Linked DNA regions of Macaca mulatta. Each later gene encodes a partner of the first gene's protein in a complex. Links are inferred from orthologs where the notes say so. Each region holds a gene or a part of one and is shown on either strand. Other genes may lie near its edges. The genes, in order: POLR1H, POLR1F and POLR1E.

Region 1 (3,749 bases):
TCAAGGCACCTAGAAAAGAAACACAAATGCTGAGAATACAACACTTACCCAAGGCCTCAGAGAATTCCTACAGTTCAAGTTCTAAAAAACTCAAATTTATTGTCAAAAATTACAAAACAAAGAAAAAAGCACTATGAGAGAGACAGCAGAAACAGACAGCAGCATCAGACACACAAAATCCACGGATATCAGAATTATGAGACATAGAATATAATAACCACATTTAATATTTTAAATATATAAAGACTAGTAAAAGGAACAATTTAAAATATTATTAAGGAACTGAGAATTATTTAAAAATTGAGATTTGAAAAGTAATTAAATAGAACTCAAAATAATAACAATAGTAAAAAATAATAATACTTGAAATAAACTGAAGACAGAATTAGTGACATGGAAGAGGAACCTGAAGAAATTACTCAGAAGGTGGCATAAAGAGAAAAGCGATTGAAAATATGAAAAGAAGGCGAGAGAAATGGAGGACAGAAGAGAGAAATCTCATTCTAGTAACTAATTAGAGGTCCAGAATGTGAGGACTGAGAACATGGGGGAAAGAGAATATTAAAAGAGATGATGGCTGATAATTTTCCAAGGTTGATGAAAAAAAAAATCCACTCTAGGCCAGGCGCAGTGGCTCACACCTGTAATCCCAGCACTTGGGGAGGCCGAGGCGGGTGGATCACAAGGTCAGGAGATCGAGATCATCCTGGCTAACACAGTGAAATCTTGTCTCTACTAAAAAACACAAAAAATTAGCCGGGCGTGGTGGCGGGCACCTGTAGTCCCAGCTATTCAGGAGGCTGAGGCAGGAGAATGGCATGAACCCGGGAGGCGGAGCTTGCAGTGAGCGGAGAACACACCACTGCACTCCAGCCTGGGAGACAGAGCGAGACTCCGTTTCAAAAAAAAAAACAAAAAACAACAATGCACTCTCAGTTTCAGAAAGTCCAACAAATCCCAAACAGAATAAAAGAAAATCACATTTTGATATACTATAGTGACTGCAGAACACCAAAGACAAAGATGAGGTCTTAAAAGCATTCAGAAAGCCCATGTTCTCTAAATCATGTGTGACTAATTCTCTCCAAAGTAAAGCTACCTTGACTGCGGTTGAAGACTGCAGTATAAGACGCTGACCACTAAACAATACTTGCTTCTTCTGGTTTTTTTTATTCATTTCCTTTTAAATATCCTAAAAGAAGGTCAGGCAGGGTGGCTCATGCCTGTAATCCCCAGCACTTTGGGATGCTGAGGTGGGTTGATTGAGCTCAGGAGTTCAAGACCAGCCTGGGAAACAGAGAGAAACCCTATCTCTACTAAAAATACAAAAAACAAAACAAAACAAAAAGCCAGGTGTGGTGGCACGTGCCTGTGGTCCCAAAGCTATTTTGGAGGCTGAGGTGGGAGGATTACCTGAGCCCAGGAGGCGGAGGTTGCAGTGAGCCAAGATTGCCTCACTGCACTCCAGGCTAGGTGACAGAGCAACACCCTGTCCGTAAAAAAAAAAAAAAACCTAAAAGGTTTATTTCACTGGTTACAAAAAGGGTTAAAAAAGTGTAATTTAAAAAAATAAAAACTACAAATCTCCCTCTTACCAGAACTGCACAGAAATAAGGGATGGGACGAAAGGACACAGCCGTTTAGTACAAAAAAATAAATCACTGGATTTGTTTATTAGTTAGCAAACAGACTGAGCAAAGGGAGGGGAAAGGATACCCACTTGCAGTTGGTACAGGTGTAGAAGACAGTTTGCCCTTCATCGGCTGAACGCATCTGTCTGGTGTGGTATGCCATTCCTTCATGACCACATCGAGGGCAGCGCCTGTCAACCTGGGAAGAAACTGGTGGGTTATGGAGGCCAGGTCATATCATACCCTTACTTCCCACAGGAATCAGGCGATCACGCCTCTCAAACATCGATGCTTTACATCTTTTCCCACTTGGAATTGGGCACAAAACTCTCCAGATCTCTGCAATCACTCCTCCATTTCTTTCCTACCCACCTTATGGAGCCAGTTCTTGATCTCATTAACTTACCACAGGTCCCTGGCACTCAGGCCCTTCCTCCACCGACATAGGCATGGCTGTCCCCAGTTGGTGGAACACAACTGAAGTCTTCACAACCTTCCCCTCAAAGTCTGCACAGGCAAGTAAGACGGGTTATGGAGACAACCTGAGGGAGCTGACACCGGAAACTTCCCCTCTCCCCTGGCTGGTTAGGCCAGGAGGCCCTATATCCTTTCCCTCAGTTTTCATCGCTGAACCAAATGTACAACTGCCTGATGTCCTGCTCTAGGATCCCCTTCTCAACCCAACCGATCTTGAGTTCCCCAAGCTTCCGATCCTGGGCCCTCCGCCAGGACCCCTGTGTACAAGCCTCTCACCCCGAACGTTGATGTTGAAGCCACAGCGAGTACAGGTGACCGTATCCTGAGCCCCGGGCAGAGGCAGGACCGAGCCGCAATCTGAACAGAAATCCAAGTCCGACTGAAAGCTGGAGCAAGTACCGGCGAGGTCCATGACAGACATGCAGTCGGGTCTGAGGAGGGAGTTAGAAGTTTATTAACAAAAGAGAGAAGAGTTCCTGCCCCAGAGGTGGTAACTATTCCGTCCCAGGACGTAGGAGTATATAACCCGAGTCCTCCTCCCACGCACGCCTCCTGCCTCTGCGACCAAGGAGCCGAAACGCCCGGAACTCCCAGACAGCGTCGGGTACTAAAAGGACTTGGAACCCTTTCCTGGGGCCGGCGAGAGGAGCTGGCCAACTCCGTGGGCTAGAGCGCCAGCTCTGCGCCCGCGGCGGGGCAGCGAGCTAGAGCCGGCTAGAGCGTCACGCTTTCACGCTGACGATTGGCTGTGACGTCATAATTAATTGCGTACCGTGTCTCGGAAGCCTTAGAGATGGAGAGTCACCACTTCTAAGGGAGGTTGGGGCTCAACTTTCAGGCTGGTACTGAGACGTTGAGCACAAAATTGGTAACCAATGCTGCGCTTCCAGCAAATTTTCCCACCAGCACCGAATCCTGGGATATTTATTCTCTGTTTCACATCCTACGGGAACCCAATCGCGGGGGAATATCCTCCTGAAAACCGTACTTTGCTGAATAATGACTTCTTTGGATTAGAGAACTACAACTCCCCTGGGTCCTGAGCTGGTATTTCCCTTTTGCGGCTGCACAGTAGTTAAAAACAAAGCTAAGTGTTCTGGCATGTATAGTTCTAGCGTTCCTTGGGTCCCGCTGGCGAGCGTGGGCTTTCTGCAGAGCGCAGCCGGCCTGTGTGCTTTGCGGACGGTTCACCGCGCTTGGAAAGGGGTGAGTCGGCTTCTTGAGGGACAGCAAGTGGTGAGGGTGAAGGCCAGAGGAATCCTTAGTCCCACGGGACGAAAGGAAGCAGGGATGAAGTGGGACACTTGAGAAGGGGCTCAGGACTTTGGAGGTGGTAGAACAGAAGAGCTTGGGGCTTCCCCTCCTTCGACTCCTGCCAGATAAGTGAGGCTAGCAGTAGTCAAGAAGCTCATTAAGTAGGATTTCATAAGACTTAGGTCGAGTTTGGCTTTTAGTTGTGCCTGCCGCTTATCGAACTCTTAATTCATTATTCGTCATCCATTAAGTGGACAGCTGACATTTCCCTGATCTTTTATAAAACATGGGAATAAGTTTCTTTCGGAAATCTTGCTATTTTCGTTACTCTGTAACTTATATTCGAAGTAGAAACTTTCCCTGAAGGGGCAGCTTGTCGTTGTTTAC
Region 2 (3,749 bases), on another chromosome or scaffold:
CATTTGGAAATTTGTGATACTAATCATGGTTATCACAAACTTTGCACAAGCCAGGGCAGAAAAGAGTCTGTCATGTACAGGACAGTCGGTACAATGAGGAAATATCCTTAGCTCTGACTTTTGAATAAAAGGACAAATCTGTTTACAAATAGCTAGGAACCTAATTTAACTCTTAACATCAACACACAGCCATCTTTGCATATTTTTAATCTATATTAAATTGTTCAGGAATTTAGCAATATATAAATTCAAGGGGGATTTTGTTAAGAGTCATCAGATATGTGAACACAGGCACCCAACACTATATACTTTTTCTTCTTCACTTTTGTTTTTCAGATACCATCCTAAATAGGTATCAGGGCAAGATGGTAGCCTCACTTTAGTTCTTTAATACTGTATGTTCAATGTTTTGTCCCTCATTAGTAATGCATAGTTCAAAGTGTGGTGCCTGATTTTCACCTGGTGCATAATTTCACCAGGGGTCTTCAGCATATCCAAGTAATATGAAAGGAGTGGTGGCCAGATCTGTTCAGAGTCACTCCGCGAGATTTCGTTATTTCCCGCCCTAGCCTGTCAAATGCAGGCAATACAAAACGGTTACAGAAAACAGGATGGTTGCTTGTGTTTCCAGATGTTATGACTACTTTGTATATCCTTTAATCTCTCAAATCCATCCTCTCTAATCATTTTCTCTTGAACAATTATAACATGATCTTAATTCCTCTCCTTGTCCACTTTCTCATCCTATTTGGTAGCTAACCATTAAGTAAGGCTAACAAGTACTGTTTCTTAAACTGCAAATCTGATATGCCAGGAACTGCAGATAAGTACTGCGTTCTCAAAAGTGTACCAAGTCTCAGAGTTAAAGGGTACTGAGAGGATGAAGCACTAACCCTGCCTATGAAAACAGAAACACAAAAGGAAAAACAACAACAACCCCACCTTACCCCCAAAAGAACAAAAACTGGCAATGACAGGAAGGGAAAAGCAAAATGGCCATCCTCTCTGAGTCACCCCTGCCCTCGTCTCCAATGGCATCCAATGCCTTTCCCCTGACATAAACCTTATTCTACTTATATAATAGATACGGTTCTCTGGGCAAAGCATACCGGTTCACATCCAGTATCCGTTTGTTTATGCCACTCTTTGCCTGGAATGCTACCATGGGAAAGTACCGTCTTCACTCAAGTTGTTCTCAGAGGTCCCAAGATCCCAATTCAACACTCCTTATCTTGTTAGATTTCTGTCAAATTTTAACACCTTACTATTTATTGGCTTGTATTTGTATCTCTACTACAGCTTAAAGCTCCTTGAAAGAGGGATTTCATTTTTTGTTTGTTTTTGTATCTCAAGTGTTCGGTATATAATATAAACATACGAGAAGTGTATATTGGTGCTTGGAAGAAGCTGTATATTCTGGAGATGCTTGATTATTAACCTGTGTGTGGAGGTCAAGGATCCCTTAAGAAAGTGATAAAAGCTTCCGATACAGTGCCCAAGGAACTTCACATAAGAATTCCTGAAGGGCAGTCATGAATCCCTAAAGAATCCATTCACTCTAGTATTAGAACCTCGCTTTTGAACCAAAGTATAGTCCAGAGGAATACTGAAGCACATGCCCGCGCCCCCCGCCACACACCTCTGTAATTCTGTTTTCAAGGCACTTCTGAATACCGTAATATAAATGCATACCTTTTGTTTTTTTCTCTCCCAAAAGCAACAGGCTCATTAGTTCGATTGAATAAATCGTCTTAAAAACAACTCAGGTCCAAAAGAAGAGAAAATGGGGAAATTACCAGATTGAAATACAGTAAGAAAAAAACGTGCTTCACGTTTTACAGGTAGAACGGTTGTACTAATGCTTCATGTGCAATCTTCGATGGAATGAGAATCTACTTAAGCACTGCAAACCAAATTTTTATCGTCAAATGAGAAAACATCATCCGGAACGGGATAAATGAAACGTTGAATGCCAAACAGAACTGGGCCTACTAGGTCTCCAGACCCCTGGTCTGTTCCTACCCCTACACCAGGATTCTGGAGCGAGAATCTCCACTCCTTCCGCCGACACCTGAACTTCATCTTTAAGTTTTCTTCTCTATCTATGAAAGGGACCCTATAAAGATCTTCACCACAGTGGTACTGGCCTTGAGGGGCGGATCGCGACTCTAGAATTCCACGGGGCTAAGCTCTGGGGGGGCAATGCGACCTTTACTATTTGCCCCCTTTCTGCTGCGTTGTCAGCATATCTACCTGCTGCTACTTCCCGTGCACAAAAGAAGGAACAGGCAAAGAGATCGGTACCTCTCAGAATAGCGAAGGAGCTCCGCATCAAGCTGTTCTCGAATGCCAGTGCGTTTCCTGTTCAGGTAGCGGGGAGACAGCGCGATGTGCCTTTGGTGCGGCCCAGCCACCAGGCATGAGTAGCGACTGTTCACCAGCGCACAAGCAGCGGCATAAGTCGGCAACTCTAGGCAAGGCAGGACGCCAGCCTGCCCTACCAGAGACCCATCAGAAGCCGCCGTTGGCCGCGGCACCTCTGAACAACCCGCAGCCATGCCGCTTGTCAAGGTTCCCACGGCGCGCGCCGTTGACGCAAGCACAATCGCCTGTCCCCGACGCTCTTTTTACGTCATCCACCAACTACCACGCCCCTAGGAATTTCTCCTCCTTACGCTGTATTACGCCGCTCTGGCCGGCAGGGGGAACCGTATTTTCGCGCTTCGAGGACGGGAGCTTAGAGCCTGGGATATGCATTGAGCATGCAGGAAAGTCAACTGTCTGCTCTTTTAAGGGCAGGCAAATATGTGTTTTCGTACAGAAGCTTATTGGATTAAGTAGGCAGCTTAAAAAGGGGGGTTTTCACTTTGATCATTTCCAGTAGTAAGGTGGTTTGGTAGAATTTTACAAGCTTGGACTGTACAATAAAAAATCAAAATATTTATGGAGTGTATTTTATGCAGGACACGAAATCCTAAGAAGCAGGCCTGATAACTCTAATGCAACATATCTTAAAACGAACCTACTAGTTCTCTCCTGTCCCACTTCTCTCCTCATTATGCACATGCTAAATCAGGGAATTATACCACAGCCAACCTGTCAGCCTCGGATCCTCTTTTGTTTTCCCAAATATTAAATCAGCCTGAAGGCCTGTATTGCCCAAAGTGGATATATCATTCTGTTTGGACACTATTCTCTTTCCCTGCCGACAAAACCACAGGACTCCCTGCCTGTGGAAGCCTAGCTCAATGGTCAGGAGGACGCCCTGGGGCAGCCAGATCTTCCCTGAAACACATATGATTGTGTTGTGCCCTGTTTAAGCCCTACATAGGCACCCCACTTTCTCTAGGACAACACAAACTCCTGAAAAATGCTTATACAAGGCCATTTTGTGATCTGTGTGGGCACGCAGCCTCTCTCTTCAGCTTCATTTGTCACACTCCCCACCCTAATATTATGCCCCTTGATCCACTTTCAGGTCACTCTTTCTGCAGTCTTATGCTGTTCCTTCTACCGGGAAATATAATATTTTCACAAGGGTAAATTCTCCTCACGTATCAATTTTTAGCTTAGATTTTACATTCTGTCCCTTTGCAAAGAGTTTTCAACCACCCCACACCTCTTTCTCTATAAGGATTAGGTAGTTACCCATGCATGTTTTTTAAATGTTAATTTTATATTAACTGCCATTTGCTTGCCTGTTCCGTCAATAGATTCCTACACTCACTAAAGTGGGGACCATAATATCT
Region 3 (3,649 bases), on another chromosome or scaffold:
AGAATGGAGGCTGCCTGGTTATTCAGGAACAGAATGTTATGGAAAGGCTCAGGTCTCAAGGCCAACTACTCCCCTCTTGGTTGTGTAACCTTGAGAAAGTCATGTACTTTTCTGAGCCTGATTTTTCAATTGTTTTCTAGGGAAATCAGTGAGATAATGACATAATTTAAGACCGTGCCTAGCACAGAGAAGGCACTCAGTAATGTCTAGTTACTCATTCAGTCAATGATTCATTCACTGAAAATAGTCCTCTAGTTCCAAGTTGTTCCCACATTTAAACATCCTCAGTTCCCTTGGTGGTGCCTCATGCTTTCCAGTGGTACCAGAAATAAGACATCAAGGCACCCTGCAGGGAGCTCTTTATTCTGTTGTGCTCACCTTTTCTCATTGAGCTTCAAGTCCCCCTGTAACATTGTCAGGTCAATTTGGAAGTCACGTATGTGCAAGGCAAGTATGATCACATATGCAGTAATCTTCGCCTTCATAGAATCCGAAATTAAGTTCCGTAATCTAGAAAATCAGTGGCAATAAAGGAGAAACAAAATTAAACTCTCAATTTCTCCAAAAGCAAAATAAGAACATTCAACCCTATTCTCATATGCACTGAATGTCTTCCCAATTTCAGGAAAGGAAAAGGAATGTGGGTGACTTCTTTGCCCTTCCAAGGTTCCTGGGCCTCACGCACAGTGGAGCAGTGGGCCAGTCCATGTTTCCCTCTGAGGCAGACAGAGAAGGCTGGGCCTACACTCTCCCTGGACACCGCTAGCGCTGAGTCTGTCCCCGCCTGCTCAGCAGGGCTGCTGGGAAAACAATCATCCCGAAATCAGCTGTGCTGATTCTTCCAAGCACACTCTAGAGCAGAAAACATACTCCAGGCAAATGGCAGGAAGGAAGCCCGGGGCAACGCTTGCGGGTCTTTCCTGAGTCACCGAGTTGGGCTGCCCTTTTCTGCAACACTGCCTTTCCGCAAACACCAGCTCTGTGGGACATCAGGAAGGGCTCTTCAAAAGTATGTGAAGTAAAACAAGTCTTTATTGGAGGACTTCCCAGAGCTTCTAAGATTCCCCAAAAGTAATACTTTTCCAAAAAGGACAGAGTATGTCATATTTAGCGTTTGCTAAACTTACTGGGGCCCCAGGAGCCTTCCAAATGGCAGCAGTCTCTTCAGCACTGCATCTCTGTGGACGTGGAATTGAGTCCAAGCCCCTGCTGCTCACTCCCAACCCTCACTCACTTTCTCCTGCACAGGAAAAATCCCAGAAACCACCCCCTGACCTGCCATTGTTGTACGTCAAACAGGTAAAGTGCTTCAGCAGTTTGGTGTTGATGATGTGGGGAACTCCAGGTCCCAGGGCACCTACAACACAAAGTTGAGTTTGATCATTTTCTCTCAAAACCCTCAGGCCACACCTCCACCATGAGTTGAGAGAAAAGCCAGGAGCTGGGCCACTGTAATGACCAGAACCAGGTGGTAAGAGAAGCAGGGCCCACAAAGCAGAACGGCCACATCGAAATGAAAACATGCTTGGTGTGCTTCAGCCTGCAGCTTGCCCTGCACAAGAGATGCTGGTGATGGGGCAGTGACAAGAAAACACAGCCGGAGGCCTAAGGACGTAGATTTAACATGACCTTAGAAAACAAAAATTGTGCTGAAAGCTCAGGGAGAGACAGGGAAAGCTGGAATTGGAATGTGAAAATAAGAACTAAGTGACCAGATGCAGTGGCTCACACCTGTAATCCCAACACTTTGGGAGACCGAGGCAGGCAGAACACCTGAGGTCAGGAGTTCAAGACCAGCCTGGCCAACACAGTGAAACCCCACCTCCACTAAAAATACAAAAATTAGCTGAGTATGGTGTAATCCCAGCTACTCAGGAGGCTGAGGCAGAACAACAGCTTGAACCTGGGAGGCAGAGGTTGCAGTGAGACGAGATTGCGCCACTGCACTCTAGCCTGGGCGATAGAGTGAGACTCCATCTCAAAACAAAACAAAACGAAACAAAACAAAAAAAAACTGGCTGGGCATGGTGGCTCACGCCTGTAATCCCAGCACTTTGGGAGGCCAAGGCGGGCAGATCATGAGGTTAGGAGTTCAAGACCAGCCTGACCAACATGGTGAAACCCTGTCTCTACTAAAAACACAAAAATTAGCCAGGTGTGGTGGCGGGCACCTATAACCCCAGCTACTTGGGAGGCTGAGGCAGGAGAATCCCTTGAACCCAGGAGGTGGAGGATGCAGGGAGCCAAGATCGAGCCACTGTATTCCAGCCTGGGTGACAGAGCGAGACGCCATCTAAAAAAAAAAAAGAACTAAGCAAATACAAGCTGAGTGCGGTAGCTCACACCTGTAATCCCAGCCAGCACTGTGGGAGCCCAAGGAGGGTGGATCACCTGAGGTCAGGAGTTCAAGACCAGCCTGGCCAACATGGAAAAACCCCGTCTCTACTAAAAACACAAAAATTAGCTGGGCATGGTGACGCCCGCCTGTAATCCCAGCTACTCAGGAGGCTGAGGCAGAACTGCTTGAACCCAGGAGATGGAGGTTGTACTGAGTCAAGATCATAGGTCTGCACCCCAGCCTGGGTGACAGAGCGAGATCCTGTCTCAAAAAAAAAAAAAAGCATGACTAAGCAAATACAGTCATGTCCCACATTACGTTCTTTTGGTGAATGACAGGCCACATATGTGACAATGGTCCTGTAAGATTTTGTTTGACACAGGGTCTTGCTGTCACTGAGGCAGTGGTGCATTCATAGCTCACTGTAACCTTGAACTCCTAGGCTCAAACACTCCTCCTGCCTCAGCCTCCCAAATAGCTGGGAGTACAGGCGTGCATCACCCCAGCTAATATTTTTATTTTTTTGTAGAGACAGTGTCTTGGTATGTTGCCCAGGCTGGTCTCAAACTCCTGCCCTGAAGTGATCCTCTCACCTTGGCCTCTCAAAGTGCTGAGATATAGGCATGAGCCAACATGCCCAGCCGGTCCCAAAAGATTATAATATCATAGTTTTACTATTCCTTTTCTGTTTAGATACATTTAGATACACAAATGCCATTGTGTTACAATTGCCTATAATATTCAGCATAGTAACATGCTGTATAGGTTTGCAGCCTAGGAACAGCAGCTTATAGCATATAGCCTAGGTGTGTAGTAGGCTATACCATCTAGGTTTATGCAAATATACTCTGTGATGTTTGTACAATGACAAAATTGCCTAAGGATACATTTCTCAGAACATATCCCCATCATTAAGTGACACATGACTATACTAAAAAATAGGAGTATAGACTATTGGATGCCCAATCACAGTAACAACTAAATATGCCTTGTGCCTAAAACCACAGACATCTCCTGGGTTTCCAACTCTGGGTAGGTATGAGGGTGTGACCCACAAAGCGTCCTGGCTACAGGTGACACTGGGTTACCATCAGATTGACGCTCTCCTGTTAGAAATAAGCTGACACAACACAAACCTGCCACAAGCTTTCAAGATACATATGTGTAACTCATAAGCGCTCTCTCCACACACACACACACACACACACACACACACACACACGGCTGATGTTTGTTCTAACAGTCCCTTAAAATTTTCATTTTATTTGACCTGGATATTCTACCTTGCCTAATGCAGAATAGAAGTAGCAA

The links.
Region 2: POLR1H (region 1) and POLR1F share a complex: the UniProt entries of both Homo sapiens proteins name them as parts of the RNA polymerase I (Pol I) complex. The link is inferred for Macaca mulatta from reciprocal best matches to the Homo sapiens genes POLR1H and POLR1F.
Region 3: POLR1H (region 1) and POLR1E share a complex: the UniProt entries of both Homo sapiens proteins name them as parts of the RNA polymerase I (Pol I) complex. The link is inferred for Macaca mulatta from reciprocal best matches to the Homo sapiens genes POLR1H and POLR1E.

Annotation. Positions count from the first base shown.
Region 1 is NC_133409.1:152,983,812-152,987,560, forward strand, and holds the start of POLR1H (DNA-directed RNA polymerase I subunit RPA12), read right to left. Parts: upstream 2,530-3,749; coding exon 2,385-2,529; intron 2,139-2,384; coding exon 2,038-2,138; intron 1,831-2,037; coding exon 1,721-1,830; intron 1-1,720. UniProt on the Homo sapiens protein: Core component of RNA polymerase I (Pol I), a DNA-dependent RNA polymerase which synthesizes ribosomal RNA precursors using the four ribonucleoside triphosphates as substrates. Can mediate Pol I proofreading of the nascent RNA transcript.
Region 2 is NC_133408.1:108,567,334-108,571,082, reverse strand, and holds the start of POLR1F (DNA-directed RNA polymerase I subunit RPA43), read right to left. Parts: upstream 2,580-3,749; 5' UTR 2,559-2,579; coding exon 2,305-2,558; intron 1-2,304. UniProt on the Homo sapiens protein: Component of RNA polymerase I (Pol I), a DNA-dependent RNA polymerase which synthesizes ribosomal RNA precursors using the four ribonucleoside triphosphates as substrates.
Region 3 is NC_133420.1:62,108,598-62,112,246, forward strand, and holds part of POLR1E (DNA-directed RNA polymerase I subunit RPA49), read right to left. Parts: intron 1,358-3,649; coding exon 1,276-1,357; intron 511-1,275; coding exon 379-510; intron 1-378. UniProt on the Homo sapiens protein: Component of RNA polymerase I (Pol I), a DNA-dependent RNA polymerase which synthesizes ribosomal RNA precursors using the four ribonucleoside triphosphates as substrates.